Linked DNA regions of Oryzias latipes. The protein of the gene in region 1 binds, or shares a complex with, the protein of each later gene. Links are inferred from orthologs where the notes say so. Each region holds a gene or a part of one and is shown in the gene's direction. Other genes may lie near its edges.

Evidence for each region.
Region 2: rbm48 (region 1) and armc7 share a complex: the UniProt entries of both Homo sapiens proteins name them as parts of the minor spliceosome. The link is inferred for Oryzias latipes from reciprocal best matches to the Homo sapiens genes RBM48 and ARMC7.
Region 3: rbm48 (region 1) and bud13 share a complex: the UniProt entries of both Homo sapiens proteins name them as parts of the minor spliceosome. The link is inferred for Oryzias latipes from reciprocal best matches to the Homo sapiens genes RBM48 and BUD13.
Region 4: rbm48 (region 1) and snrpd1 share a complex: the UniProt entries of both Homo sapiens proteins name them as parts of the minor spliceosome. The link is inferred for Oryzias latipes from reciprocal best matches to the Homo sapiens genes RBM48 and SNRPD1.
Region 5: rbm48 (region 1) and snrpd3 share a complex: the UniProt entries of both Homo sapiens proteins name them as parts of the minor spliceosome. The link is inferred for Oryzias latipes from reciprocal best matches to the Homo sapiens genes RBM48 and SNRPD3.
Region 6: rbm48 (region 1) and ppil2 share a complex: the UniProt entries of both Homo sapiens proteins name them as parts of the minor spliceosome. The link is inferred for Oryzias latipes from reciprocal best matches to the Homo sapiens genes RBM48 and PPIL2.
Region 7: rbm48 (region 1) and snrpf share a complex: the UniProt entries of both Homo sapiens proteins name them as parts of the minor spliceosome. The link is inferred for Oryzias latipes from reciprocal best matches to the Homo sapiens genes RBM48 and SNRPF.

What each region holds. Positions count from the first base shown.
Region 1 is NC_019869.2:21,761,725-21,765,591, forward strand, and holds rbm48 (RNA-binding protein 48), read left to right. Parts: upstream 1-1,291; 5' UTR 1,292-1,306; coding exon 1,307-1,468; intron 1,469-1,929; coding exon 1,930-2,120; intron 2,121-2,202; coding exon 2,203-2,348; intron 2,349-2,564; coding exon 2,565-3,100; intron 3,101-3,106; exon of another isoform or gene 3,107-3,191; coding exon 3,192-3,254; 3' UTR 3,255-3,344; downstream 3,345-3,867. Other genes in the region: pex1 (peroxisome biogenesis factor 1), read right to left, coding at 21-104, 204-350, 990-1,097; efcab1 (EF-hand calcium-binding domain-containing protein 1), read right to left, coding at 3,405-3,455, 3,528-3,632, 3,757-3,867. UniProt on the Homo sapiens protein: As a component of the minor spliceosome, involved in the splicing of U12-type introns in pre-mRNAs.
Region 2 is NC_019877.2:19,372,983-19,377,204, forward strand, and holds armc7 (armadillo repeat-containing protein 7), read left to right. Parts: upstream 1-1,411; 5' UTR 1,412-1,658; coding exon 1,659-1,749; intron 1,750-2,497; coding exon 2,498-2,641; intron 2,642-2,724; coding exon 2,725-3,068; 3' UTR 3,069-3,715; downstream 3,716-4,222. UniProt on the Homo sapiens protein: As a component of the minor spliceosome, involved in the splicing of U12-type introns in pre-mRNAs.
Region 3 is NC_019872.2:13,070,010-13,074,004, reverse strand, and holds the start of bud13 (BUD13 homolog), read left to right. Parts: upstream 1-1,166; 5' UTR 1,167-1,195; coding exon 1,196-1,332; intron 1,333-1,473; coding exon 1,474-1,561; intron 1,562-1,962; coding exon 1,963-2,047; intron 2,048-2,124; coding exon 2,125-2,523; intron 2,524-2,826; coding exon 2,827-3,131; intron 3,132-3,215; coding exon 3,216-3,324; intron 3,325-3,476; coding exon 3,477-3,615; intron 3,616-3,696; coding exon 3,697-3,878; intron 3,879-3,995. UniProt on the Homo sapiens protein: Involved in pre-mRNA splicing as component of the activated spliceosome. As a component of the minor spliceosome, involved in the splicing of U12-type introns in pre-mRNAs.
Region 4 is NC_019869.2:22,965,493-22,969,814, reverse strand, and holds snrpd1 (small nuclear ribonucleoprotein Sm D1), read left to right. Parts: upstream 1-1,508; 5' UTR 1,509-1,640; coding exon 1,641-1,654; intron 1,655-3,058; coding exon 3,059-3,135; intron 3,136-3,210; coding exon 3,211-3,402; intron 3,403-3,608; coding exon 3,609-3,685; 3' UTR 3,686-4,257; downstream 4,258-4,322. UniProt on the Homo sapiens protein: Plays a role in pre-mRNA splicing as a core component of the spliceosomal U1, U2, U4 and U5 small nuclear ribonucleoproteins (snRNPs), the building blocks of the spliceosome.
Region 5 is NC_019870.2:16,128,892-16,133,067, reverse strand, and holds the start of snrpd3 (small nuclear ribonucleoprotein Sm D3), read left to right. Parts: upstream 1-1,359; 5' UTR 1,360-1,489; intron 1,490-2,276; 5' UTR 2,277-2,297; coding exon 2,298-2,423; intron 2,424-3,875; coding exon 3,876-4,068; intron 4,069-4,176. UniProt on the Homo sapiens protein: Plays a role in pre-mRNA splicing as a core component of the spliceosomal U1, U2, U4 and U5 small nuclear ribonucleoproteins (snRNPs), the building blocks of the spliceosome.
Region 6 is NC_019867.2:622,307-625,842, forward strand, and holds part of ppil2 (peptidyl-prolyl cis-trans isomerase-like 2), read left to right. Parts: intron 1-298; coding exon 299-374; intron 375-950; coding exon 951-1,057; intron 1,058-1,331; coding exon 1,332-1,421; intron 1,422-2,489; coding exon 2,490-2,523; intron 2,524-3,151; coding exon 3,152-3,269; intron 3,270-3,390; coding exon 3,391-3,447; intron 3,448-3,518; coding exon 3,519-3,536. UniProt on the Homo sapiens protein: Has a ubiquitin-protein ligase activity acting as an E3 ubiquitin protein ligase or as an ubiquitin-ubiquitin ligase promoting elongation of ubiquitin chains on substrates.
Region 7 is NC_019881.2:20,375,317-20,379,438, reverse strand, and holds the start of snrpf (small nuclear ribonucleoprotein F), read left to right. Parts: upstream 1-1,314; 5' UTR 1,315-1,449; coding exon 1,450-1,452; intron 1,453-2,048; coding exon 2,049-2,174; intron 2,175-4,110; coding exon 4,111-4,122. UniProt on the Homo sapiens protein: Plays a role in pre-mRNA splicing as a core component of the spliceosomal U1, U2, U4 and U5 small nuclear ribonucleoproteins (snRNPs), the building blocks of the spliceosome.

The sequences.
Region 1 (3,867 bases):
AAAGTCAATATTTCACTCACCAAAATCTCCCAGTCATCAGATGACAGTGGCTCCACAAACACCTGATTCAGCGAAGAGACTTGATGGCATGGTCTGAGAAAACACTGTGAAAACCACTCAATGTCAGACCAATGTTAAGAGACTGTTGCACAGGCAGTGTTCGTCCCAGTTGATGACCTAAAGGAAGAAACCAAGGTCTTTACCTGTTCTCCATCAGTCAAACCGAGCTTTTCTCCAAGCTGCCGAGACAACTCCACTCTGTGGCTGTCTGCTCCTAAGGAGGCTCTGATGGGACACCAGCTAAGGAACACTGTCGACCCGCCGTCCCAAGACAGCTCCAAAGCCTGATTCTAAAACGGACCGGCCAAAGAGAGACGATGAAATAAGACACAGAATGGTCTCTTAAAGCGGATGTCGAAATTATGATTCCAACTTTATGAATGTTAGATACTTGTGATACCTTTATTAGTTTTTATTCTTGTACATTTTGTATCATTACATACATTTCAGATTTTATGCTCAGCAGAAGAATTAAATTAAAAAATTGCAAAAATATTCCACAGGTGTGGTAGCAAAATATAGAAATATTGAGATGATCACATTAGTTATTATAATAATCAACCTTTTCTAAATTAAACTATTTCTAGGAGTTAATGTGTTAAAAATCAAAACAATGCAGTTTCCTTTAGACTAAAGACCCCTGAATGAGGACAGTATTTGATGCCCAATTTCTATTTTTACCAACAATTCATTTTTTGTTGCCTTGCATTACTTCCTAATACTAATTAAGTACACGTGATAATAAAAAAATGCTCTGCTTTTGTTATAAGTTTTAATTAAGAAAAACTAAAACCTTAAATGCAACCAAAGGTCCCCTTGTAATGTCAGAGAAACAAACCAGCAATGTGTAAAACACAAAAGCAGTCATTATTCAGTAAACTTTATGCAACAAAACTGAAGCGATGTTAAGTAATTAGCTAATACTTTACCTCATTCAGAGAAAGGTGCGATATCAGCTTTGAAGAGAGTTGAATAAAGCAGTTTTTAGTGTTGTTAAAAACAACACATACTGGTTGAATTCCCTGGTTGCTAAACATGACGTTTACATCGCTATTTTAGCATTTAAAGTGCTTAACATGCTGGTGCGCTAACGGCCAAAGTGCAACAAACATTTCGATGAATGAGAGAACTGATCCAGACAAAACAGTCGATTGTCGATGGAATCGATCATTTCAAAATAAGACTGCCACGTCGTCAACACTACACGTTGAGTGCTCTGCACAACGGAATGAACTCTTGTTTTGAAATGCCACCAAAGCGGAAACGCGTTTCAGCAAACATGGCGGCAAATGTCAACAGTAAACCTGGTTGTTGGAAGGTCCCAGAAGTCTACAAACATCACGAACAACACAACGCATGTTTTTCTAGACCCAAATATAGAGATGGAAGGAGAGCTAAAGCAGTCAAGGTAAGAAAAACGTTTCTAATGTTTGTAGCAAAGACGGTCTGTGTTGACGCAAGCGACGAGCTAATAATTATGTGTAAGTTGGTTTTATTTTTACATTTAAGAATGTAAGAGAAAATTTTAAAATCTTTTTTTTTAACTGGAAGAAAAAAGTATAAATTGTAGTCACACAGCAAGTGATAAATAAAAGACCAACGGCAGGTCTTAAAAAAACAAATAAAACTGTCGTTTTGGCAAAAATAAATAAATAAAATTAAATAAAAGACATGGTAAAAAGTTTGAGTCATTTCGAAAAAATTGTAATTAATAAACCATAAAAATCAAATTTCTAATACAGTAGACTGGATTTCTGAGTTGCAGGAAAGTACATCAGATCTGATGATTATGTCTTTAAGTTAATTGATTTTTATTGGTCACGTCAACAGCCTCACATATACTAATAACCATGCCTTTGTATCTGCCAGGTCTACACAATAAATTTAGAGTCCCGTTATGTGATGATCCAGGGAGTCCCCGCTATTGGAGTGATGGAGGAGCTGATCCAGTTGTGTGCTCTTTATGGAACAGTGGAGGAATACAGACCGCTGGACGAGTATCCTGCTGAGGAGTTCACAGAAGTCTACCTGGTCAAGTTTCAAAAACTGACAAGTGCTAGGTATGGCGGGCACCTTAACTGTACTGCCCTAAACCAGAAATGCTGAAAAATATGTCATTCAGGTTGATATTTGATGTTCCAGAGCGGCGAAACGTAACATGGATGAGAAGAGTTTCTATGGCGGCGTGCTGCATGTGTGTTACGTCCCGGAGTACGAGTCTGTGGAAGACACCAAGTTAAAGCTGCAGGACAGGAGAAGTTATGTTCTGAAAGTGGCTCGGAGTAGAGGTATTATCGCATTTTGACGATATACGGTGTTGAAAAGCACTGAATCTTTTTTTTCTTAGGTAATTGTTTTTTAAAAGTTCAATGAAAAAAAACTGTGATTAAAAAATTTTTTTTGTGTATTTTTATCTGAAATCAAATGTTTTTTGTTGTTTTGTAAGTTTAAAGTATAGATAAAGAATTTGATGAGTGTCATTTATCTGTTTCATGTTTATACAGCAAAAGAAAGAGTAGCGGATGCGGTACACATGGAATCTACGTCTTCAGAAAGCGTTCCCACATCAAGCAGAGTTTTTGCTACAAATAATCCAATCTTCAATAGTGACAAAACAGGCGAGACTTCAAGCTTCAGCCATTGTTCCGGATTTCCTCTACTGCCTTTACCCCCGCAGGAATACTTTCATCAGGATTATCGTGGGAACGAACCAACAGAAGATCAAATGGGGACTTTACATGACGCAGTGCCTCCTGACGTAAAACAGCAGAAAGTCCAGAACTTTAGCTCTTTCAGTAAAGACCCTAATTCCGAAAAAAAATTGGCCTCCAACCCAGATTCTTCCGTCAAGCTTGTTCCAAGAACTGCACATTTGGAAAAGAACAAACGCCGCAAAATGGAGGAGGCCACAAAACAGCCAGTGCCTGATTCTGGAGAACCGTCTTTGATTGGACCAAAACTACCAGAACCACATAAGCTGGACATGAATGATCAGTCGCTAAACACAACAGTAAATCTGATCAGGGGCACAATGAAGCAGGTAGTCTTTTATTTTTTTTTTAATGAGAATTAGAGCTTGACATGATGCCATATTGGTGCATTTCAGTCTCATTCTTTTCATTCATTCCTAGGTGACATCGGTCCCAGACCTCAAACCAGCGGAGAAGAAGGTTAAGCCACGCCGTCGGATATGATCCATTCTGTTTTAGTGACGACTGTCCATATTTATCAAAACTAACGTTGAAAGGCTCAACTTAAAATAAAATTGTACTTTAAGAAAAACATTTTGGCTTTTTCTTTCATGAAAGTCTCAAAGTTGAACACCGCTTGCACTTCATATTTTATTATTCATCTTGCTGCTTTTCCAGTACTTGCTGCTCAAACTTCTTCTTTGTCTAAAAAGAAAGATTTAAGTTAAATAGATCCTTACAATATTTTTAAGCTCAGCAACTTTTGGTTGTGATTACCCTGAAATTGGGCAGGCAGCTTCCAAAGGCTTCAAGGAGTAGCTCCTCCTTTTTTACAGACTTCTCAAAATCTTGAAAAGACAGCCTGCCGTCTTTGTCGTGGTCCTGTGGAATCACAGGAAGCAATGTTGGCATGTTACCAAAATAAATCTGCACACATCAAGACAAAATTCTTACAATCAACATCGATCCAAATGTGACAAAGGCAGATGGGAGGGCAACATCTCACCATTTTTTTGAGGACAATTTCCATCAGTTCGTTGATCTCATCCTGTTCATCTTGATAGTCGTCTTCTCTGCCTTCCTCTTCAAGCCGCAGATGGAAACTGTCCTTCAGCAA
Region 2 (4,222 bases), on another chromosome or scaffold:
TTCAAAGAACCTGTGTCTGCAAGACAGAAAAATACAAACACAGGACACAAAAATAAGCTGCATTTTAAACCACAAAATGCAAAAATGGGCTCTCTTTAAGACAGTAACCTGGTTTGGAAAAGCACAATCTGCAGCTCAAATTCTTTTTAAAACTTTTTTTTAGAAAAGGAATCTCTGCAGCAGTACACCAACTAAACCAGAGCAGATTTCACACAAAAAAATTTAAAAAAAATTTAAAAAATGTAATCTGATAAAAGCAGCTGCACTAAGTGTCAAAAACGTGACACCAATGTAGAAAAGAGAAATTTGTGAAGTGAAAAAGCCCCCCACTTCCAATAACACAATATGTTTTACAAAAAAGATTCTTATTTTAAAGATATATTTTACAAAGACATTTATTTAGATTTCTTTAATTTATTTTAAATAGTAATTGCACTCCAGGTTGTAGAAGATACTGGTCAAAAACTGAAATTATGCTAAATAATCTACTAATTAAAAACATTAGTGTCTCATTACAAATGATTACTAATTATAAATTAAAAATGCTGTTACCTGCAGTCTTACACTTATATAATTAAATGTTAGTATTTTTTGTGGTGCAAAGAAAGAGTATGTGTCTGTGATGCCTTGCTTTGGAAATAAAAAGGGCTACAAAATAAAAATAGTTGTATTTTTCCTATTACTAAAGATATTTAAAGACAAAATTTCCTGTTAATGAAATTATGGTTTGGCTCCAATGTTAATTTGTACTTAAGGACAGTACAGACATGTTTTCAGTGTTTTTCTTAAACTTGATTACAATCAAACGTCAGCGTCATTACGCAAGGACAACAATCTCCAACGTTAAACACATAAAAAAATATTCTGAATATATAGACTAAAGTCTATATTTGCGTTATAACTTTCCTATTGTTTTATACAAAATAAGAAAATAGATCACCTGTTTATGTAAACAGTGGCAAGTCCAACAATGATGCTCCCGAACAGAATAGGTTTCGTGAGCCTTTTAGCTGCAGAGAGCTTGTGAGGCTTCATTGCTGCAGAACTTTAAATCAGAAGGTTCACGGCATAGAATCCAAACAGCAACAGAAACGTGAGTTTGTTTTCAGCTGACCTTCCTGCGCGTGAGTTAGTTAGCTGAAGGGACGTTGGAGCGCCTCAACTTCCGGTCCAGCACTGACGTCTATGTCGACAAAGAAGTACCGACTTCCGTTTGAGAATTGAATTTCGTAAAGTAATTTGCTTTTATCGTCTATGACAAAAAGTAATCATTTAATTAAATTAAATCAAAGTGATTTATTACCGAAACATTATAGGCCTAATTATTAAAAATCACAACGTTTTAAGTGATAAAATAAATTGACAGCTCTTTTTTATGTAAGAACAGCTTAATTCTACTTTTGGGTTTCATTTTTAATTGTTATTCTGTTGCGTTAACAGTTCATCCAGTCTTCAGAAGAAGAAAAAAAAAGAGTCACGAAACAATATCCCGGAACCACTGTCCAAATTCTAATTTAAGCCGGACGTATTTGAAAGACGGACAAAATGAACGAACTACTGAAACCAAATGCATAAATGAGGATACTATTTCAAATGTATTTTATTTTTTTGTTTTAATCGCGCGTTTGTCTTCTTAAAAACACAATATAAGATACTGAATGATGAAACGGAACTTTTCACCCGAAACCTCTGACCGGTTTGAATATTTACAGGCTCTTGTCACAGAGTTTCAGGATAGTGACAGTGAAGGTAAAAACACAAATAGCTCGCAGATTCATTTAGAAAAACTAAGAATTATTGCTAGTTTACAACAAATTCTTTGAAATTAAATTGTTAATGCATAAACATTGTAATGAAAGCATGTCTTACTTATATCAATCCATGATAGTCACTTTATATATATATATATATATATATATATATATATATATATATATATATATATATATATATATATATATATATATATATATATAATTATTTTTTTATTTTTATTTATTTTATTATATATATATATATATAAACTACAAAAATTTAATTTTTAAAATCTGAATGCTTAGAAACAGGACAGATTATTCAGGAAAAAAACAATGCATTTATCTTTTAAGATTTTTTTTTTTAAATAATTATGCTTTAGTAATTCTGACGATCATGTTTGAATACTAAATTAAAAATGCATAATGACGTTTTTTAAAAATCAATAAAACCAAAATTTAACAAATGCCATTTAATGATTTATGCTGATAGACTTTTGCAGCCTTTTATATGCAATATATAAAGGATCAAACTACATATTATTGTCCGTCAATAATTTTTTAGGAATGCAGGTCTTTAGTCTTATTTTTAATGTTGAGGTGTAAAAAAGCGCCCTCTGGTGGATTAAATTTATCTTGCTTTTGGTCCTTGTTCCCGTTTCAGTCATTAATGTCCAGTATATGTAATTTAATTGAATTTGAATCTGATTCTGTGTTTTTTATTTATGTTCTGTTGTCGTTAGAGGCAAAGGAGCAGGTTTTGGCAAACCTCGCCAACTTTGCTTACGACCCAAAGAACACAGAGTATCTGCGACAGCTGCAAGTGACCGACCTGTTTCTGGATATGTTGACTGAGAAGAACGAGAACTTTATTGAGTTTGGAATGGGTGAATCTTTTTAGATTATCATTTGGGTTTTTTTGTACCATAAATGCAGTGAAAAACATTTTTTTTGGTCTAAATTTTCTCAGGTGGGCTCTGTAACCTCAGTATGGACCCAGACTGCAGGGACCTCATCCTGGACAGTGACGGCATCAGCTTAATCACAAACTGTCTGTCAAACCAGAGGGAGGAGACAGTGCTATCAGCAATTACTACCCTTATGAACCTTGTGACTCCAGCTTCACAATCTCAGCTCACAGAGCCAGGCATCTTGCAGTGCATGCTGCGTTTCTCTCTTGCTGAGAGTCCCCGGCTGCACAACCTAGCTGCTGTGTTCCTGCAGGACTGCTGCACCAAGGATCAGGTCAGGCAGGCCGAGCAGCAGATGCAGGGACAGCAGATGGCTGTTGGGATCCCACTACCCAAAGACTAAAGACTTTGCTTCACAGTCAAGTGGAAACAAACAGTGACCGTTTTGGTTTTATGATTGTTTAATTTCTGGTGTTTTCAGCAGATGTTGAACCGATCTGGAGGATTTCCTTTGAACAAAATCCACCCTAAAGTTGGTTATGAAGAGAGGAAAATTAAGCTGCTTGTCCAGGTCTTGCACCTCCTCTCATTTGCAGCTGGAGTTTGCACAGGACTCATGTCTTCACTGGATCAGAATCTGAATATTAAGATGGTTTTTGTATGTTTTTAAGCACAAGTACATTTATAAAAGTAATTTGAAATTTGCTCAAAACAGGCTTCCAGCAAAATGAGTATATTTGTTCTCATGGAAAAATGGTAAAGATGTGTTTTACTAGACAGAAAATAATTCCTTTCAAATGTTGGACACCAACTGAAAAGGTCAGATACTCATCAAAGGAAAAATGAGGGAAAGTTTGTCTGTAGTCGTATTAGATTTAAAAAAAAAAGACATATAGAAACCCAAGTTATCCTGCTTTCATGGGAGGAATACGTTTCTACCAACTGTCACTAATCAGCAGAAATACCAAACCTCATGGAAGCCTAAGTTTGTGGCTTTCTTAGTCTGGATAATTCAGGTGTCTTTTATTGAAATAAAAAAAATCTACAGAAGTTCTGCCTTCGTGTGAGTGTTTGGCTCTCCTCCCTTTAGTCCTGACTTGGGCGGCATGATATGAGGAAAATTTGCAACATTGGTGATCAATATTGCGATGACAATATACTTGCTACATATCAACAAATAGCAAAAACAGCTGCATTTTAATTTTACAACAACAAGGGTTAACCCTTGTGCTATCCTAGACATTTTAACGTTGGGAGTTGGGTCATCTAGACCCACTAGACAGTGCGCTAAACCTTTTTTCTTCAATGATTTGTGATCTTCACTGGTGTCAATGGATTACATGACATCTTTCCACCTTTATCCACATTTGTCATGGTAGGGAGAACACGTCGATGTAAGGGTGGGGTCATCTAAGATATCACAAGGGTTTCGTAAAATGTAAATAGTTTCAATTATTTACACTCCAAATGACCCTCGTCTACCTATGAGGCGAGCATCTAACATAAAAGGGCTCCATCCGATTGGTCAAATGCACAAAGGGATTTATTTGATCCAAT
Region 3 (3,995 bases), on another chromosome or scaffold:
CTCTTCCTTCTGTAAAAAACACTGGTAAATGTTTCCACTGTAGACGATTTAAATGTTTAGGAGCTGAGAGCTGTGAGTACTGAATGTAAATTAACCATTAGTAGAAATGAAAGTGCAGCTTTTTCGTCGAGGGAGACAGTCTAATGGCAGACTAAGAGATGCAGTTGCTGACTTATTAATGAGGTATTATTGATTTTATGTTTTCTTTTCTTTTACATTAAAAAGCACTAATAGTTTTTGTGGCCTTTTCCTCACTGCAAAAGCAGCAAATTGATTGTGTTCTTGTTTGCTTGTTAATAAAAGAAGAGCTCTGTGAATTTGCTTGTAATCATTTCATTTATGATTGAACAAATATAATTGTTTTGTGTGTTTGTTTGTTTTTGTTGTTTTTTTTAAATCATAAATCAAAGAACACTGTTGACAGATAAATACCAGTATTTGGAAATGTCACATTTTCTCAATGGAGCCTAAATGCATTGTCATTCATGGAAATCATACTAGACCAGCAGCTGGTTATTACTGTCTTAGATAAACAATAACCCATGACATTTAATCTGTCTCTACATATTGGACATGACATGTAACAGGGACAATATTTAGGTCTTTTTGTCTCTGTTATAAAAAGCAAGTAGTGACGGCCTATATTTTTGAAAAAGTTTTAGTGTAAAAAAAATGATCGACAAATAAAAAAATAAGAACAAGAATTGAAATCGTATGCAAAGAAGAGTAAAGACTTTTACAATTCAAAAACATTGCTCTCCTGTCTTTCTAGGCATCGGTGTATGACCGACTAAATTTGTGGGTCAATTAGGGAAATCAGGCAATTTTAGCCTTTTTGGTGACAGTCATTATTTGTATGCCAGTCACTGGGTCCCACCACAGACACAGTCTTGCAGCAGATTGTGGCCCAGTAGTTATCATTTTTAACTTCTTTGGAGTCAACTTTATCTTCAATGTATTTATTTATGCATAACAGTAACTTTTTTGTTATAATAATAATAATAATAATAATAATAATAATAATAATAATAATAATAATAATAATAACAATAATAACAATAATAATAATAATAATAATAATAATAATAATAATAATAATAATAATAATAATAATAATAATAATACAGAAACGCGTCTTCTTCCTCGTCGTCTACATTGACCCTTGACGCGACCCGTAGTTTCCCACAATACAAAGATGGCAGCGGTCGGTGGTGGAACCGGACCCGAGCTTTCTAAAGCTGAGTACTTAAAGCGGTATTTATCAGCTGACGACAACCATGGTGCATCTAAAGGAAAAGGCAAGAAGAAACGAAAAAAGCTTCCTGAAACAAGGTGAGTACCGAAATACTGCGCCGTTTGGCTTTCTGTTAGCATCCAAGCTAGTTTCCTTATGCTAAGCTATTTTTGATTTGGAACTTTGTTTCTATGAGTTTAATCGTTTTTATTTTGTGTTACTTCGTTGTTTTTATCTAGACTTAAAATAGTAGACGATGATATTGATTGGAGACAAATGGTCCAACAGCAGCCGGATGTCGAAGAGGATGAAGAGGAAGCTCCGGTGGTGAGTTAGCTAGCAGCCTTGCGTTAGCATTTCCCCCGCAGTACGGTCTACTATGTTTAACTTTTACACGCATGAAAGTCTGATGGCGATATTTGATTTGATGATAATAAAATGTATGTCTTTCTTTTTTGTTAACATTATTGAAATGTAAATCCAGACGTAACACAGGAATTTCATCTGACGTGAGATTGAATTGATCTGCTTTAATGCAGGATAATCGATGCAAGATAGATTTGACACATTGGTTTGAATGAAATATGTGGGAAACTTGCATTGTGTGTGAAGCAGTCAACACAGATGTTTGAACAGAGTAAATAATGATTTGATTTGGTCTATGTTATGTACATTAAAGTTTTAAAGCCAAGGAAACCTAAATTTTGTACTTTGATTTACCTTCTCAGATTGCAGAGTTCATCGATGAGCGGCCAGAAGAGGTGAAACAGATGGAGGCCTTTAGGACCAGTAACAGATGGAAAATAGTTGGGGGTAACTATAAAAGCAGTATATAAATTTGGCTTCTTTTAAATTATGTTGTTTTTCATATTAACTGTGTTGTTCTGTAGCGGATGAAGACGAAGACAAAACAATTGACGAAGAAAATGAGCAGGAGGAGCCTTTAACATCTAAAAAAAGTCGGCATGACTCACCAGAGCTGTCATCGAAAAGTGGGAGACATGGTTCCCCTTTCAAAAAACCAAGACACGACTCTCCAGACATTTCTCCTCCTAGGAGAGGACGCCATGACTCTCCGGATAAATCCCCTCCCAGGAGAGGACGCCATGACTCTCCGGATAAATCCCCTCCCAGGAGAGGACGCCATGACTCTCCGGATAAATCTCCTCCTAGGAGAGGACGCCATGACTCTCCGGATAAATCTCCTCCTAGCAGAGGACGCCATGACTCTCCCAGCAAGTCTCCTTCAAGGCAACATTTAAGGAAGTCTGGGAAAGTTAAAAGTAAAGGTGAGTTTTATTTTACAGTTAAGATTTTCTTTCTTGCTTTTATACAGAACAATGCTCATTTTGCACAAGTCACTGAAAAAGCTGAAAACGGCATACCAATGCCATTTAAGCATTGAATAAGCTTAAAGCTGGAACCTCTTAGATTTTTGGGTTATAGTAGTTACTAAAAATATCAATAGTTATATTGACACAATAAAATGTTTATGTAAAACACATTTATTTTTTTCTATTTCATATTAGGATTACTAGTTTTGCTCTCTGCACTCTAATATATATAGTGCAAACATTCTCTTTGATTCTCAGAGTCTTCTCCCACTAGAAGGAAGCCCAGCTCATCGTTACACGGTAAACCAAGGTCGCCAGATGATCGGCGGTCTCCTTTAGCTCATAAGACTAAGGTTAGGCTGGATTCAGACTCCGATCAATCTCCTCCACGGAAAAAGCAATCGAAGCGAGAAGCTTCCGACTCTGACCAGTCTCCCCCTCGGAGACGCTCCAGAACAAGGCAGAGATCCGATTCCGACCAGTCTCCACCAAGAAAGCACTCGAGGAGTGGAAAGGACTCGGATGGAGATCTGTCACCACCACGGAGACCTGGCCAGTCTCATGTGAGGGATCTGCGCTGTTCAGGGATTCGTGTGAAACCTAATTTGCAGCACAAACCCCATCTAATATTTTTGTGTGTTTTTCAGGACCACAGGATGCTTTCCGGAGGAAAGGCTGGTTTGGTATCTGTGGAGATTCTAAGGGAAGAGCAAAAGGAAAACCGACGCAGAGAAAAAAAGAATCAACCTCTTGAAGGTTGGCCTTGCTTTTGTTTTTCAGTTTTACTTTTAAAAAAAAAGAGAGTTTGAAACAACCCTTTTCTTATCGTATAACTTTAGACTTTCTATATTTCTGAAGTACCGGTATATGAAAGTGTTTTTATACTATTTATACTATTTACGCATCAGATGAATCTCGTAATGCGGAGACGGTCTTCCGAGACAAAAGTGGCAAAAGGAGGGATTTGACCTCAGAAAGGGAGGAGCAGAAGAGAAAAGCAGGAGAAAAGGCTGCAAAAGATGAAAAATATGCCCAGTGGGGTAAAGGGTAAATCCACAAAACCATACCAAGTCACTGAAAATGCTACTTCCACCACATGTAAGAAGACAAGTTATTGTTTGTGTTTAGGCTGGCTCAGAATCAGATGGAGCAGCAGAAGCTGGAGGACGCCCTGCTGGAAGCCCAGAAGCCCTTGGCCCGTCACCGTGACGACGAAGATCTGGACCGCATGTTGAGGGAGCAGGAGAGGGACGGGGATCCCATGGCTGCCATGCTTCGGCGGAAAAAGGAAAAAAGCTCAAAAACACAAGGTTTGAAACATTCTACAAGTTTTTGTACTTTTTTTTTTTTTTTTACTCTTCTGATGGAAAAATTTGGGCATTAGTACTTCAAGTACAGCAAATATCTCAGTTGCAGTTTTACATGAT
Region 4 (4,322 bases), about 1.2 Mb from region 1:
CTATAAACCACCTGACCTTTGACTTCTAACAGTCCTTCAACGTTGTAGATCTTCACATCTTAATACTCACCCACAATGTTTACAGGGGGCTGAATCACTGCCTTTAGGTAGGAGGCGATTTGGTGCTGGAATGAGAGGAATATTAATTTAAGGGAGTTAAGTTGGTGTTGAATTTCTTCTACTGTAGTAAATGGGTGGTGGTTTGAGTTTGAAGCCAGATGTGTTGCCCATGATTTCATTCAATGAACTGTACTGGTGTGTGTTTTTCTTTTTTATTATACAGCATTTATTATCCCTGAATGGGAAGTTTGTATTTTTGTTTTTTTGCAGTCGTGCTACACTCATCAGGCAGCATGCAGAGGACATGTTTGGGGGTTTTTCAGCATTTTCACGTTTGGACTGATGGTGAATGTTGTGGTGGCATTTGTTCTCCACACTGTTTGATTAAATCCTCCCTCCACAAATACCTTCTTTTTTCTTTTTTTTTAAATACAACAATTTGCACTTTCTTTAGGTTTCACTTGATACATTCCCAGCTTGTCTCAATAAATAAAAAGTATTGCTGTTTGGCCAAAACTCTAAATGAAATATCAATGCAAAGTTTACTCTCAATAAAAAGATCTGAAAGTTTGCTCCTTTGTTCTTTTTGTCTTCTTTCCTAGATCAATGGTTCCCAGCTTTTTGTGTATTTTGTAAGGATGTAAAGGATACAGTTACGTATTGAAAATTGATCAAGTACTGGAAGTAACAGCTCTATCAATCGATAACCTTAAATACGAGCAAGTTGGTGAAAAGGTAAAAAAATGAAATCAATCAGGAAGTAAATCGTTATTTTTTTTTCTTTTCTGTCTTTACTGTCTTTGCCTTTTTATGTACATGTGATGCCAACATGAAGACACCCAATCACAAAGCCTACTTCTACCAAATCGGGTCAATTATGATTGGCTGAATGTGAACCACAGTGTGCTGTGTTCTCTTTTTTCACGGTACTGCAAACAATGCCTGAATAAATTCCTATGACAATTTTTTGATCATAAATAAAAACAGAACAGTATTCGTAGTTGAAGCAGTTCTCTCAGAGATGTTTTGTTTTTGTTGCTTCAAAAAAAGGGCCAATAAGAACAAAATTTAAGAAAAAAGTTTCTCTGTTAAATGGCATTTCCATTAATAATTTTAAATGCCAAATACATAAATAGAAATCTATGAATAAATGACTGGTACTTTATTTTTTAGCACCATACAATGGCATCAGGGTGCCAAAGGGCTTACATTAACATAACATTTAAAATTGAGTAGATTGAGAGGGGAAAAAAACAGCATTAGATGGAAAAAACAATAAAACACATAGAAAAACAGTTAATAATTAAAGTAATTGGTAAGTAATTAAATAAAGACAGTAAAGGAATATTAGATGCCACCAACCCAATGAGTAAGAGAAAACAACTCATTTTTGTCTTTCCACTGACTGTTCTTCATCTCACCACCAGGCGGCGGTAAGACAACATTGACGGTGAGCGGTGGCCTCTTTCTGACGTCATATCAACGCGACACAAACGTTGGTGGTACATCAGCGGCCTGTGATTTCACTCGATCGCTGTAATTTTTCTCGTCGGTGGAGGATCTTTTCTCTACTGTTCGTCATGAAACTAGTCAGGTAATTTGCTGCATGGTCTGTAGATGTGTCGACTGGTTTAAGATAGGATGATGAAATAAAGGCTGTGTGGCCGGATGGGTTCAGATAGACAAATGAACTGTGTGGAGAGGCGGGAACAAGGCTGCTGGGTTTTCATTCAAAAAATACATATAAACATATCATTAGAGCTAACTATTTAATCAAGGATTAAACTGCTTGTTTTAGCAATATTTGTAAAAGATCGAGGCTGATTCGTTATCATTTATGGTTTTGCAAATTTCCCCCCGCATTATTAAAACTATCGTACTAAAGGAGGTTAATTTATTAGATGTTGTTTCCGTTTCCTCAAAGTGCTTTATCATTATTTAATTGTATTTATTTTTGGATGTTTTTAATTTCCACAACTTAAGAGACAAATGTTTTGTTTTCAGTTTACACAACAGTATCAATCCACCGAAGCTAACAAGCTAAGAGCTAACACGAGTTTTGTTTAGATACTAAAAAAAAAATACATTCAAAAAGGGGGGGGGGGGTATTTTGTACAATTTTATACGTTAAATCTTATGTGTTGTACAAAAATGCTGTCTAATGTTTGTGAGAGAGAGACGTCTTCTTTGTGCAAAGCAGTAAGTTGGCTAATTGATCATTCAAGATGGATCTAGTCATTAAAGTCTTCTACAGCAATGGTGCCAACCTTCTAATAAAGCGGTTTTTTATTGTATTTAATTTATCAAAATATTTTTATGATTAACAGAAAACGTTACCAACAATTATTTCTAACAAAAAGTCCGCATAAATGTTCATACAAAACATTAAAAAATGTGAATCTGAAAATGGAGTTTAAAGTCTTCCATTTTATCCAGTATGTATGGGATCAAATGCAGTTTTTGTATGAAATGGTGCATATCACAGTATGTTTATTTCCCTCGTTTTTTTTATGTTTGACATTTTGTTTATTTCATTTGTATTTTGTGAATATGAACAGACATAAAAATGATGCTTTTAATTTGTTAAAGTCCACCAATCAATTATTGATTAACATTTTCCTGTTCTAGTTCTGCTTAAAGGTCAGCATGTTATTAGTGTATTTTTTTTCATGGTATTGTCACTTTAAAACATTGACGTTTAAATGAAAGTGCCTTTTGGATTCAGAAAACCAAAATGAATGTGCCAATTCTAGGTTTTTGAAAAATACACTTTTGAGTAAGAATAAAACACGTGAACCTTTTTTGTTTCATGTGGGATGACAATAAATCATGTTTTTTTTTTTTTTGCGAAAATGATTCTTTCCCTGAAGTGTAGATACATTATACTGGTACTGCTTTTTGATTACAAAATGGTATGTTTGGTAAAGTATAGTGCAGTAAAACAACTCTTAAAGGTTAAGTAAATGTAAATGTATGCTACTCTCCCGTGTCCACACAGGTTTTTGATGAAGCTCAGTCATGAGACCGTTACCATTGAACTGAAGAATGGCACTCAGGTCCATGGCACCATCACAGGTGAGAGCAAACACTTTAGAGACGAATAAATGAACTAAATCATTTTTAAAATCCTCTTCTTCTTCTTTTTAATAGGTGTTGATGTAAGCATGAACACACACTTGAAGGCGGTGAAAATGACCCTAAAGAACAGGGAACCCACTCAGCTGGAGTCCCTGAGTATCCGAGGCAACAACATTCGCTACTTCATCCTGCCAGACAGTCTTCCACTGGACACCTTGCTGGTCGACATTGAACCAAAGATCAAGTCCAAGAAGAGAGAAGCAGGTGGGAGATTTGGGCACATTCTTACCTGGAAAATTGTATTAAGTTGAGAAGGATTTTTCTGCGATAAGAAATCCCTCAACAGTATTTATATTCATCATGGGTGTGTAAATCTGCTGTTTATTTCTTTGAGAAATGTTTTGTTCTGCTGATTAAAACTTTTTTTTTTCACGAGTATGGTGAAAGAATCTGGCCTTTCTTGTTCTCAGTTGCTGGTAGGGGGCGAGGCAGAGGACGGGGCCGTGGCAGAGGAAGAGGACGAGGGCGAGGTGGACCACGGAGATGATTTCAGAGCCCCAACTGTTTGTACAGCTTTTAATTGTACTGCGCGGTGGACGCAAAGTGAATCTAAGTGTAAGTTTAGGGTTGTTTTTCTTTTTTATACTCGTGGGTTGTTTAAGACCGCGAGGGGGTTTTGGATGCTGTTGATTCATAATTTGTACCATCTTGAATAAAATGTCTGAGCAGCATTTAAACTGGGTAAAAATGTCATCTGTTTTTTGCTTTTTTTATACCTTCTTGTGTCTTTGGCAAAGTTGGCTGAAAATGTAGCTGTTCTACTGGCATCAAAGAAGAATAAATCTTTTTTTTTCTCTTTGTAATATTTGGCTCTTTAATTGGCTTGATTAGTTTTCACTTTTCCTATAAGTGATTGAAATAGGTTGATAAGGTTTTTTTTCACAGTTTCTGGAACTGATTACATCTCAACTTATTGTTGATGATGTTCCAGATACTGCTGATCCACCTCTGGTGGATGGTGTGGATGTTGATGACTGCAAATGTAAAAACCTTTTGTCCAATACTTAGATGGGCTGGCTCTTAACCCACATAAGTTTCCAATAAAATAAAGAAAATCCACTTTGAATTTTGACATCATTGTAAAAACTTATGTTTGTTATTGAAGATCTCTGTTTGGATTTTTC
Region 5 (4,176 bases), on another chromosome or scaffold:
CACTCCACATGACATACAGCTTTCTTTTGATCCGTGCTATTTGTTGTAACGGCTGTCTGCAACAGCTGAGGAAACGAATGTAGTCTGAGTACAATCTATAGGTGTGCACTTTCCCCTACAAAGTGTTTACCTCTAAGTAAATCCTTTTGCTTGCTTGATCAGCAATTGGATAATTGCCTGGCAACAAAAGCTGACAACCCAGATCAACATCTAAGTGACATGATTCAAAGGCATCAGTGTAAACAGGCCTGTTAGCATCCACCCAAAACAAGTGCTTGTTTGATCTCTGCAAATGTCACTGCTCATGGCTGGACTGGAACTACGTTCAGAGTCAGGTTAGCATGCATTAAACGCCTGAAACCCTCATGGACACGTAAAGTAGATACACATGACCACACGCTGCACAGGTACAGGTGTTTACAGAGTAGCCTGTCTGCTGACGCCAGTCAATGACCCTGTTGCAATGGAAATCAAATGATGGTTCATTTGGTGATGTCTTTTATTATCCCATTATGCTTTGTCTTTCCTCATTAGAAACCTCTTCCAGCGTGAGAAAGCCCCGCATTAAGCAATGTTTATGCGTCTCACTGAAGTGGTAAAAAAGACTAGTCCACATAAATAAACACGCAAGGGTATGTATATGATACGTAAAGTCTGTTCATTCAAAAACTATGTAGAGTAAATGTTTATAGCTCTCTGTGGTCGATGAAAAAAATCCATTTGAATTGATTGAGTCGTTTCATTTTCATAATCTCTTCTTGCTGGGATGTTTTGACAAGCATATGTGCCAGCTATACACGTGTTCGGGATTCAAATCTTTCACATAAAACAAATAAGGAAAAGAGAAAAAACATAGTGAGGAGGATTATGGAAAAAAAACATGCACCACTGCAAGGAATCAATAAAATATTTTTACAAATATCTATCCAGTGTTCCATTATAGTTGATTTTTTCCAATGAGTAATCATCAAATTAAATTCATGTTAATCTAATTCAGGACAAATAAACAAGTCATTTTTTATTGTGTACATTTTTAATCTGTTAACGTTTCATGATTTCTATTTTTGTTTGAAAGTCCAATGTCCTATAATGATTGGTATTCCTGGACCTCTCTGAGGCCTTTTGATGAAAATTAGTTTTTATTTACTATTACTACTACTTCCAATACTACTAAAAAAGAATAATAATAGTACAAAAAATAATAACACTTATTATTATTATTGTTGTTGTTGTTTCTCCTTAACCATCTTTCTGGTAACTGGCTGACTCAAGTGAGTCTACATTCTGTTTGACCTAACACACCTGGTTTAGGTAATCAGAATCAACTACATGTCCCATAATGCACGGCGAAAAGCGCCACAGGAAACAAACGCTTTGTTGGTGCATTGTGGGTAAGCGGAAAAAAGGCTCAAACGCCAAGCTCAACGACTAGCCCACGTTGCTGAGCCGCTAAAAAGAACAACAATTCAAGAATTCAAAGGGAGTTGAAGTAAGACTTTAAACCCTAGCTACTAAAGCTAGCAAGTATTATATTGTGGTTGGTATTTAGCTGTGAATGTGATTCAGAATTATCGCTTTTTGTCTACATTGCCTCCCATTTGCTAAGTTTCGAATATGTCCATCGCTCCATCCATGCCTGATATTTAGCTTGTGTCTAAAATAATTTGCACGTTTGAGTCCCAACAATGTTGGGTGTGAAGCATTAACGTTAAATATATTGTGGTGGTTTACTTCCCACAGTTTTTAATTAATGTTTTGTTTCGCTTGAGGCCAGTAGTTGGTGGCTAGTTAGCTAACGTGGCTAGCTAAGCTAGCCATTAGCGTTACTACGTTTTAAAAGTAATCCCGAACATTTACCTGATTAAACTGTGTAATCCAAAACTGAAGAGTTTTCTGCAGCACTTGATTTCTCTACGTAGAAATAATACCGTCTTGATAAACAGTACAAGAAATAAATCACTAACGAGGTAGCTTAGCTAATGATAATGGAAACATTGTTATACTTAAGTGCCTTTTTTGTACGTTTTTTTTTGTGGGTGTAAATTACCTTATTTACAGCACAAAACAAGTCTTAAGTATGTTCTAACAGTAAATATTACTTCCAAGCCAGACACATGCAAACATAATAATCATAAAATTGGATGAATGAATTGCATGTTGTAGACTTTCAGTAGCCTTCTGTAAACAAAGACAATACCGTACGTCAGGTTTTGTGATAATACTGTATGTTTCAGTGCCCTTTACCGTATGTTTTGTCTTTTTTTTTAATTTAATAGCCTAGAAAGACCGTTTCCAAAATGTCCATTGGCGTACCAATCAAGGTCCTGCATGAAGCAGAGGGACACATTGTGACCTGTGAAACCAACACTGGAGAGGTTTACAGGGGCAAACTGATCGAGGCTGAAGACAACATGAACTGCCAGGTTTGTATGGAGTAACGTCCCCCCCCCAAAAAAAAAAAGCATGCCGTAAATTTCTATTTAGAGTTCAACTCACTGTACCACACTTGAGAAGAACATTTTAAATGTGTAAAGAACACAAGAATGTTTTTTTAATGGACATTTTATTGTTGGCTGCCCCCCCCCCCTTTTATTTCACATACTTTTTGGAAACAAAAATGCCAAAGGTATTTTAATGCAGTTTATTGCACCAACTCTTATTTAGACTTGCACATTTGTTTTTTTTGCTTTCACAGGAATAAGTCTAGAATCTACCAATTATAACAAGCAGGTGATGTAGAACTATTTGAGTAGGTTTGTTGAGAATGTAGTATTTTAGTAAAACAATTGCGGTGAGACAAACTCATGTTATACTTTCTTTCTTTCTTTTTTTTTTTTAAAAAACAGTTGTTCAACATGTTTGTAGCGAAAGACAAATCGGTTACTCCTCTTCGAAGAAAAATCTCTCCCGGTTTCTTTGTCCCTCAAAATCTCAGCCAACCACACGTGTGTAACGTATGATTGATTGATGTAGTGACTTAATTACTCAATGAGATCAATGGTGCTTTTACAGTCAACAAAACATACTCCCTTTTACTAATATGCATCAGGTCAGTGACCTGTAGGGAAAAACAAAAACCATAAATGATTTATCATTACCGTTGGAAGTAAATAGAAACACAGCACTAAGAAACCAAACGGCCCTGTGTGGAAAAAGGAAATTATGTTGGATTATTTTAAAGTTTTGGGACAGGTTGCCTTTATGACCTTTGTTTTTTTGTTGTTTTTTTTGGGTCTCTAGTTTTGGTTGCACATCTGTAACAAACAAATCTGGAATAACAATTTTATTTTATTTTGTAAATTTAAGTTGTGTTCTTTCTATTAACTGACCCAATTCACCCCCCCCCCCTAAAAAAATCTGTATAGTTATCTGGTCATATATGCACATTTGTCCTTGAAATATTTAAAGCCATTTTTCTTAAAGTATTGAGTACTGTAACTAAATATATTTCCCAAACATCCTGTCAATGCTGATAGTCTTTTCAAGCTTCATTAGTGCAGTAAAAGTTTAATAGACTCCAAATCTGTTTATTTCATTTAAAAGCAGAAATTTTGGTGGATAAAGCTCAGTGTGTCTTAAAAGTACTCTAAAGATAAGTGTGAAGGCTTTAACAAAACGCTAAATATTCTAAAACGTATATTCTGTTAATAATTGTAGATTTCTTATTAATCAAATGACAAATCAAAAAGGTTGTTAGAAATTATTTTAAGGGATTAAATGAAGTATCTACAAATGTGTTTTCAAATAGAGAACTGCATTGCCAAGTTTAACAGATAACTTAAAATGTTAACCTGCATTCCATTGAACACTGTAAACGTGTATCAAGCCATTTTACGAATCTAAGACCGGAACCATTTATTTCTATGTCCCAACAGATGTCCAACATCACAGTAACCTATCGTGACGGGCGGGTTGCCCAGCTGGAACAAGTGTACATTCGTGGCAGCAAGATCCGCTTTCTGATCTTACCAGACATGTTAAAGAACGCTCCAATGTTAAAGAGTATGAAGAACAAGAACCAGGGTTCTGGAGCAGGAAGAGGCAAAGCGGCCATTCTGAAAGCACAAGGTGAGTGGTTCCTAACCAATGCTGATAAATGGTGTGTCCACTTTTCCTTATTCTTGGTACACCCTGCTTCCTGAATGCTGTTTTTTTTTTTTTTTTACTGAATTATTT
Region 6 (3,536 bases), on another chromosome or scaffold:
GCTTGTTGTTTGCCTGTTAGCTTGTTGTTTGGTTGTTTGTAGTTTGCCTGTTAGCTTGTTGTTTGGTGGTTGTTAGTTTGTTTGTTGTTTGCCTGTTTGTTCTTTGTTGTGATGGAAGCCGGTCTTTGACAGGTTCTAAATCTGTTTACAGCAGATGGGTTTTGATGTGAGCTTCTCCTTCTTTGTTTTTCTGCATTTTTCCGTCTGTACTTTGAGAGAACAGCATGTCTATTGGTTTAGAAATCATTGAGTCCATGCAGAAAGTAAACATGACACATTTGCCTGTGTCCCCGTCCAGGCCCACTACTCAACAGGCCGAGTCTCCGCCTCCTTCACCTCCACAGCCATGACTCCTTCAACCATCCATGAAGCCGGTAAGCTAGGATCTGTTCCTGTGGGTTCTCCTCTGCACGTCAGCCGCTGACCTGGTTTTGTCTGCTGCTTCTGCTGGGATGCAGCCGTGTTCACTGACTTTAAAAAGATAAATGAAAGGGAATAAAAGCTATTATTATTGTTTATGTCATTGTATCCTGAGGCGGTACATTAGACTTTCTATGAATTCTAATAAGGCAATGTTTTTTGGGTCCACTGGATTTCTCTCTGAAGCAGAACCGGCTGGTCCAGTCCTGACGCTCCTCTAAGGCTGGATTCAGACTGGACGCACTTGGTTCACGTAAAGTAAACCAGAACTAGTCTGAATACACCAAAGTGGACCCTGATCCAGAAGGATCAGGGTCCACTGGGACCCATCGTTTGAGGTGGTCTCGGTTATTTCCAATCGGACTGAGATCCAGTTCGCCCTGCGTTTCCACTGTCTGAACCCAATCTGCTCAGAGAGGAACGACTGAACCCCAATATGTCTGAGGCCTTTGGAGCGGCCCATGTGTGCAGCGGTCGCTGTTGTCTGCACGTTTCAGGTGTTCGTTTTTTTACCGTTGTCTTTGTGGCAGACGCCATCGCCGATGATGCTGTGCGGTACCAGTACGTGAAGAAGAAAGGCTACGTCCGCCTGCACACCAACCTGGGAGACCTGAACCTGGAGCTGCACTGCGATAAGGTGACGTCAGACGCTGCGTTTAAACCCATGCAGCCTTTATTGATGCCGTAGTCGTTTTTTATTTGATCTTTTTTCTCTGTTGGTACTAAAAACATCAGAACCATAAAACAAGAAACACAGTTTCCTTTCTTTTAAATACCGTCGTCATGACGACGTGGAGCGTTCGGCTGGTTTTTGGGAGTGTAGGATGGAAGTGGTGCAGCATCAGACCTGGAATGTGTTCGTGTCTGACCGTCAGTGTTTGTCTCCCCCCCCCCCCCCCCCCCCAAACCAGGTTCCCAAAGCTGGAGAGAATTTCATCCGTCTGTGCAAAAAGGGTTACTACGACGGGACCGCCTTTCACAGGTCCATCCGGAATTTCATGGTGAGGAAGAGACGCTTTTAGCAAATGAGGGGAGAAGGCCTGCACAATATACCGCAAATTTATCGTCATCGCAACATCAAGCTGTGCAACATGCATACCGCAAAAGACGGCAAAAATCGCAATAAATGGTTACCTCAAATTTGCAAAAACAAACTCATGGCAGCCTGAAATGGTGAACAAATGCAAGTAATCCCTTTATGCATTTAACCAATCAGAAGGACCCGTTTACGTTTTTGATCAATCAGATGAGCACTTTTATGTTTGATGTTTGCCTCCTATGTCGACAAGGGTCATTTGGAGTATAATTTTTATACTGTTGCAGTGAAATGGAAATGATGTTTTTGGTTGTTTGGCTATTTGTTTATATACCGCAAATTATATCGTTATCGCGATTTTAATCACCAATATCGCATATCACGAGTTTTCCTCATATCGTGCAGCCCTAGAGGGGAGGTCTGCTTCTGCTGAACAGGCCGGGTCCCAAAGGTTTGAATATTTGGAGCGTCTGCTGATCAAAAGCTGCAATAGATATTCACATATTTGGGTACTTTGATTAAAGAGGAAACGTCAACCCAAACCCGTTCAGATCCAAATCAAGTCCAGCTCCTTTTCCAAGCTCCCTCCGTCCTCCTCCTCCTCATGAGGAGTCGGGGGGCAGCAGGCTAACCGCTGGTCTCCAGTCCTCCATCCAGAGCCTTTCTCCAGATCAGTCAGGGAACCCCAAAGTCCAGGCAAGCTGAGGAACACGGTTCCTCTGGGTCTCCTTCCTGGGGGAGTTTCCCTGAGCAGCGGCTCTTTGCTGAGCTCCTCACCCTCCCTCTAAGGAGCAGCCACTGCCTCCCCCCTTCCAGACGTTTGCATCCAGGATCTCCTCCTGGTCCGACCCAGAGTCTGTAGGTGAGGGGAGGAACATGGACTCTGCTCCTCCTTCACTACGATCCACCCGTCAACCTTTCTGCACTCAGACCTGAACGTCTCCACGTGGAGCAGGAGCTCTGCACACATCCAGAGAACGGGTGATGGAACACAGCATCTCCATCTTCTAAAGCTGACCCTTTCTCTTTCCAGATCCAGGGAGGAGACCCGACCGGCACCGGCACAGGTAGGCGGAGCTTGGACCGCTTTCAGTGGCGGAGCGGCTCTGAATGACTGAAGGTCCTCTTTAGAGATGCTGAACCTGTGGGGACCTGAGAGAGGCACTCAGGGCTGCCAAAGATACCGAGGGGCACTTGGGGTGGGGGCAGTCTGTCTGTCTGTGGGGGGGGGACCGGGCCCATTATCTTCTATCTACTTGCTGCCACTGGGAATGCTGTTTCATAAGGTGAACTTCCACCTTATGCCGACGACTGCCACATGTTTGTCGCTATATGTGTGAGACCCGACCACATGACACCCATCTTGGTCTCTTTGAACGGCGGCGGCGGGTTCTAGGACCAGCGTTCCTCTTCTCCTGGAGGCTCGTCTCTAATGAGACGGAAACGTATTTCTGTTGTCTTTAGTATAAAATGCATTTGGGATCAGATGAAGATCCTCATTGATCCAAACCTGAGACTGTTGCTGCCGCAGAAACGCACAAAACTCTCCACAAAGAGAGGGAAGCTCCATCTCCAGCTGGACATCCCATAATGTTTCTTAGCTGGAACCCTGTGTGGTCCGTGCACACGGCTGCTGGATCTCTTCCTTTAGGGCAGGTTTGGTTCTGAAGTCTCTGTGGGTTCGGTTCTGCTCAGGTGGCGAATCCTTCTGGGGAAAACCCTTCAAGGACGAGTTCCGGCCCAACCTGTCCCACGCGGGCCGGGGGGTCCTCAGCATGGCCAACTCGGGTCCGAACACCAACAAGTCTCAGTTGTAAGGAACCTTGGTCCCTGGAACCGAGGAAACCCAAACACGAAACTGAATCTATGTTCTTCATGTTCTCTGGGCTGCAGCCTGGAGCAGATCTTCTTCAACGTCTCCTCCTCCTCCTCAGCTTCATCACATTCCGGTCCTGCCCCCACCTGGACAGGAAGCACACCATATTTGGAAGGTACCTTTCCAGAGGCTGATCTCCCACAGATCCAGCTTTGGGGCTGCTCTGATTGGTCGTCTTCTCTGCAGAATCGTGGGTGGGTTCGA
Region 7 (4,122 bases), on another chromosome or scaffold:
GAACAGCTAAGATACTGCGCAGGACCCTCAAGCTCCCGGGCCTCTGGTAGAGGACCCGAGCTTGGAGGAGAAAGCACCCACGGAGGGTGAGAGGGGCGTTTTTTTAAATTTTATATATATATATATATAGATATATAGGGAGCTGGTTTAGCTCGTGCTGGTTTGCGGCGCCTTCCGTCCGTGAAACCAGGGTTCGACTCCGGGCTGCTCCCTGTTCCCTTCTCTACTTCTGTGCCGGTCCCAAGCCCGGTTGCTTTGAGAAGGTTGCGTCAGGAAGGGCATCCGGCGTAAAACATTGCCAAGTTTACCATGCGACTCGTTCGCTGTGGCGACCCCTGATGGGAAAAGCCAAAAGGGAAACCAACCCTATCTATCTATCTATCTATCTATCTATCTATCTATCTATCTATCTATCTATCTATCTATCTATCTATCTATCTATCTATCTATCTATCTATCTATCTATCTATCTATCTATCTATCTATCTATCTATCTATCTATCTATCTATCTATCTATCTATCTATCTATCTATCTATCTATCTATCTATCTATCTATCTATCTATCTATCTATCTATCTATCTATCTATCTATCTATCTATCTATCTATCTATCTATCTATCTATCTATCTTCTGAAGATGAGACCCACCAACTCACACATTGATTCTCGCACTGTTTTCCCAACAATCTATATGTCATAAACACTTCTCAGCTTACTTACTTAGCCATTGCCTCCTTGGTAACCGCCTCGCACCATGATTCCTCTGTAGCAAACGTGAAATCTACCTGGCGTTGATACAGAGTGTGAGTGCCTGTATGGTGAGATGTCATCCACAGTTTTGGCATCTTCTCCAGCTCCAGGCTCAAATGAAACATTTACAAAACTAAAATCATTTTCTTACATTAAAGCTCGGTAATGCAAGCCTTTCAAATAAACAGCAGAATGTGAGAGTTCGTCAGCACATGTTGTCAGCAGCCTGGAGCTGATGACAACAATTCTATAATTCCATTGGGTTTTATATTATCTGATTATAAATCATTTTTAATTTCACTTATTTATTTATTTTTTGACATTTGGTCTTGTCTCATTGTTATAAAATAGTTTATTTATGTTTTTTTTCATAGTTTGTTTATTTTTTGTTGTTTACTAATTGTGTGAATGATGTTGTGTCATTTTGTAAACTGATTTTATTTATGATTATTTTATTATGACTTTATAAAGCAGATGCACTGGAATGTGATCAGAATATAGTCCGAGTCTTTTTGTTGCACTAATACATCCAGAACGCCAGGGGGCGACGTGAGGCGCGGCGAAAAGCTCGATGCCACTTCCGTTTCCTGTCGGCGGCAAAGCGTGCTTCTAGTTTGTGAAGCTAAAACGTTTTTGTGACGAAGACATAATAAACTTCTAATTTACTGTTAATCGGGTCTAAACTTAATCGAGCAAAATGGTGAGTAACTCTTCAAATATGTAATTTCACACGGCCTTTGGGTTTATTGAAGTTTGTTAAAACAAAGAATTTAAGAGAGTTAGCTCGTTTATGCTAGCCATGTTAGCATCCCATTCATAACTGGTTTACACAGCTCGTAGGGGAAAACAAACTTACACTAAAAACAAAACTTTAAAAATGAAACGGTTAGATATTCAAGTGAGCTTTTACTAAAGTGTTGTTTGTTTTGGGTAACGTGTTGCCGTATCAGAAAATGAACGTCCGTCGGAACAACACAAAACTATGACGTTCCTCTGCAGGTAGTAGTGTGGTCGAACATTATACAACAGATTAATAGAAGTATATAGGTCATTTGAATAATTAAACTGCTCCAAAACCGAATTTATGTACTGTTTCCCAATTATTCAATTTATTTTTTTAATGCAGTCCAGATTGGTTCTTCAGTCGCTCCTGTTGATGATTGGTGGTGTAAAGAAATCAGACGTGGAGACTGTCCATAACATGAATAACCCGCATACTTAAAGTTCTAAATATCTCATAGGGAAAAGCGTCATGTTTGCAGACTTGATGTAAGGTTTCAATCCCCTCTGCCGCAGAGTTTGCCCCTCAACCCAAAGCCTTTCCTGAACGGCCTGACAGGGAAACCAGTGATGGTGAAGCTGAAGTGGGGAATGGAGTACAAAGGCTACCTGGTGTCTGTGGACGGATACATGAACATGCAGGTAAAAGCAACTCTAGCTTCATTCACAACTATATCAGGGTTTATTCTGGGATTTTAAAATGCAGCTGCAACACAGAGGCAAACTACTCAAAAGTAAATGCAATTATTTATTCAATCTATTTTAAATTAGTCAAGAGTGTTTTTATCGTACTCAGTTTGTTATTATTATACATGTTTCTAAATGACCAACAGTGTTTTCAGTCTTCTATTCTGAGCATTAACTTAGACGACTGTTGGTGGAAAACCAATTAGCAGCTTTTCTTGTACCAGTTTACAATTTTTTTCAAAAATTCTAACTATCCTATCATATAACATTTTAATAAAAAAAAGTCGTTTAAAAAAAGGTCAAATGGCTCCTGTCGCATAGTGACAGCCTCTGCAAAGATGACGGAGGCTTTTTTGAGTTTGCTAAACGATCCTGTTCAGCAATTATTGATCAGGAACTTTCCGCTTCATCCAAGAGTCAAAAACAAACTCAATACAGTTTCTAAATGAAAACACTTCTGGTTTTTCACAATAAGATTATTCTGGGCACAAATAACAAAACATTTCTCTGAACCAATGAAGTCATTCAAACCAAATCATAAATGTTGTCTCACATTGTTATTTAAACAGTAAATAAGTCAAAACAACTCTAAACACTTATTTTTTTTAAGTATTTATCTGTGATGCTCATTTTTTGATCAGGGTTATCCGTAGTAATCACAACTAAAAATGTTCCAAATTTAGCTTTTTTGTCCTTCACTGAGCAATTAAGTCTGTAAGTCAGTCGCTGCAGCGGCCTGATACTGCATGAAAGTTGGCTAGCATTTCTAAATCTGGAACAACTTTTCTTACCAAAACATATCAAACCATTTTGTTCTATTGTTTAGATAGCAGCACATGTAGAATAAAAGAAATCTGTTTAAAAAATTGAGATTTCAGACCCTTAAAGCTCTCACACCAAACCGGTGTTGCTTCTCCATATTTTACATAATTCTTTGTATATTTAGATTTCATGAAATTTGACCTTTGCTAAGAAACTCTTGTTGTTTAGATGAAGGTTGTTGTTTAACTTTGTCATCTTTTATTATGAGATTTTAAAAGAAATACATTTGTTGTGTTTTACTCAGAGGAAATTACCATAAACATTTTACTTGTTTAGTTTGTAGAAAAAAAGTGATAAACGGCAGGAAAAGTACATGATTGTTGCAGAAATCCTCAGATGGAATGGGTTTTTACCAAACTGTGACACGCCACCATAACAGTAACATCTTTTCTTACGCTTTTCTAAGCTCTTCAGAAAAAAGTCTTATATCTGGACTTGTTTTTAAAATGTTTAATTTCCTGAAATTCCAAAGTAGATTCTTTGTCGAGTGAATTTTCTCAGGTTAAATATTAGTTAAAAAATGACAGAAAAATATAAGTATTTAGATGAAAACTTGGGTGCTGGAATTAAAGGTTAATCTTTTAACATTTGTAGAAAAGAACAGAAAATTTGCATTTGGTTATTTGGGAAACAGCAAAGAAATCCATAAGATCTTTTTTTTTTTTAATATTCTTGTGGCATCTTTCTCATGATGGAGAACACGTATGAAGAATGAATCAGGAGCAGAAGACAAAATGCCTTTTGATTAAGATCGTATTTGTGACGTTGAAAATATGGTGGGCGGGCAACAAGCTCCCTGCTCCGAGGGAAAGGGGGGCGGGGTTGCTCTGTACCAACAGTTTCGCCACAACAACAAACTGGGTAATCATAATTAGAACCACTGGGAAGGCTTTGACACTAGATCTTAAGATGATCAGAGCTGATCTTTAAACTAAACGTTATGAGTAGTTTACTGTTTAATCCAGCAGAGGGCGCCACAGAATGAACGTAAAATCTAACAAATCTTTAATTTGGTAGAAAAATGAAGAGAAGGTTTGAGGTTTTGACTTTTCTGTATGATGTCTGACAGCTGGCAAACACG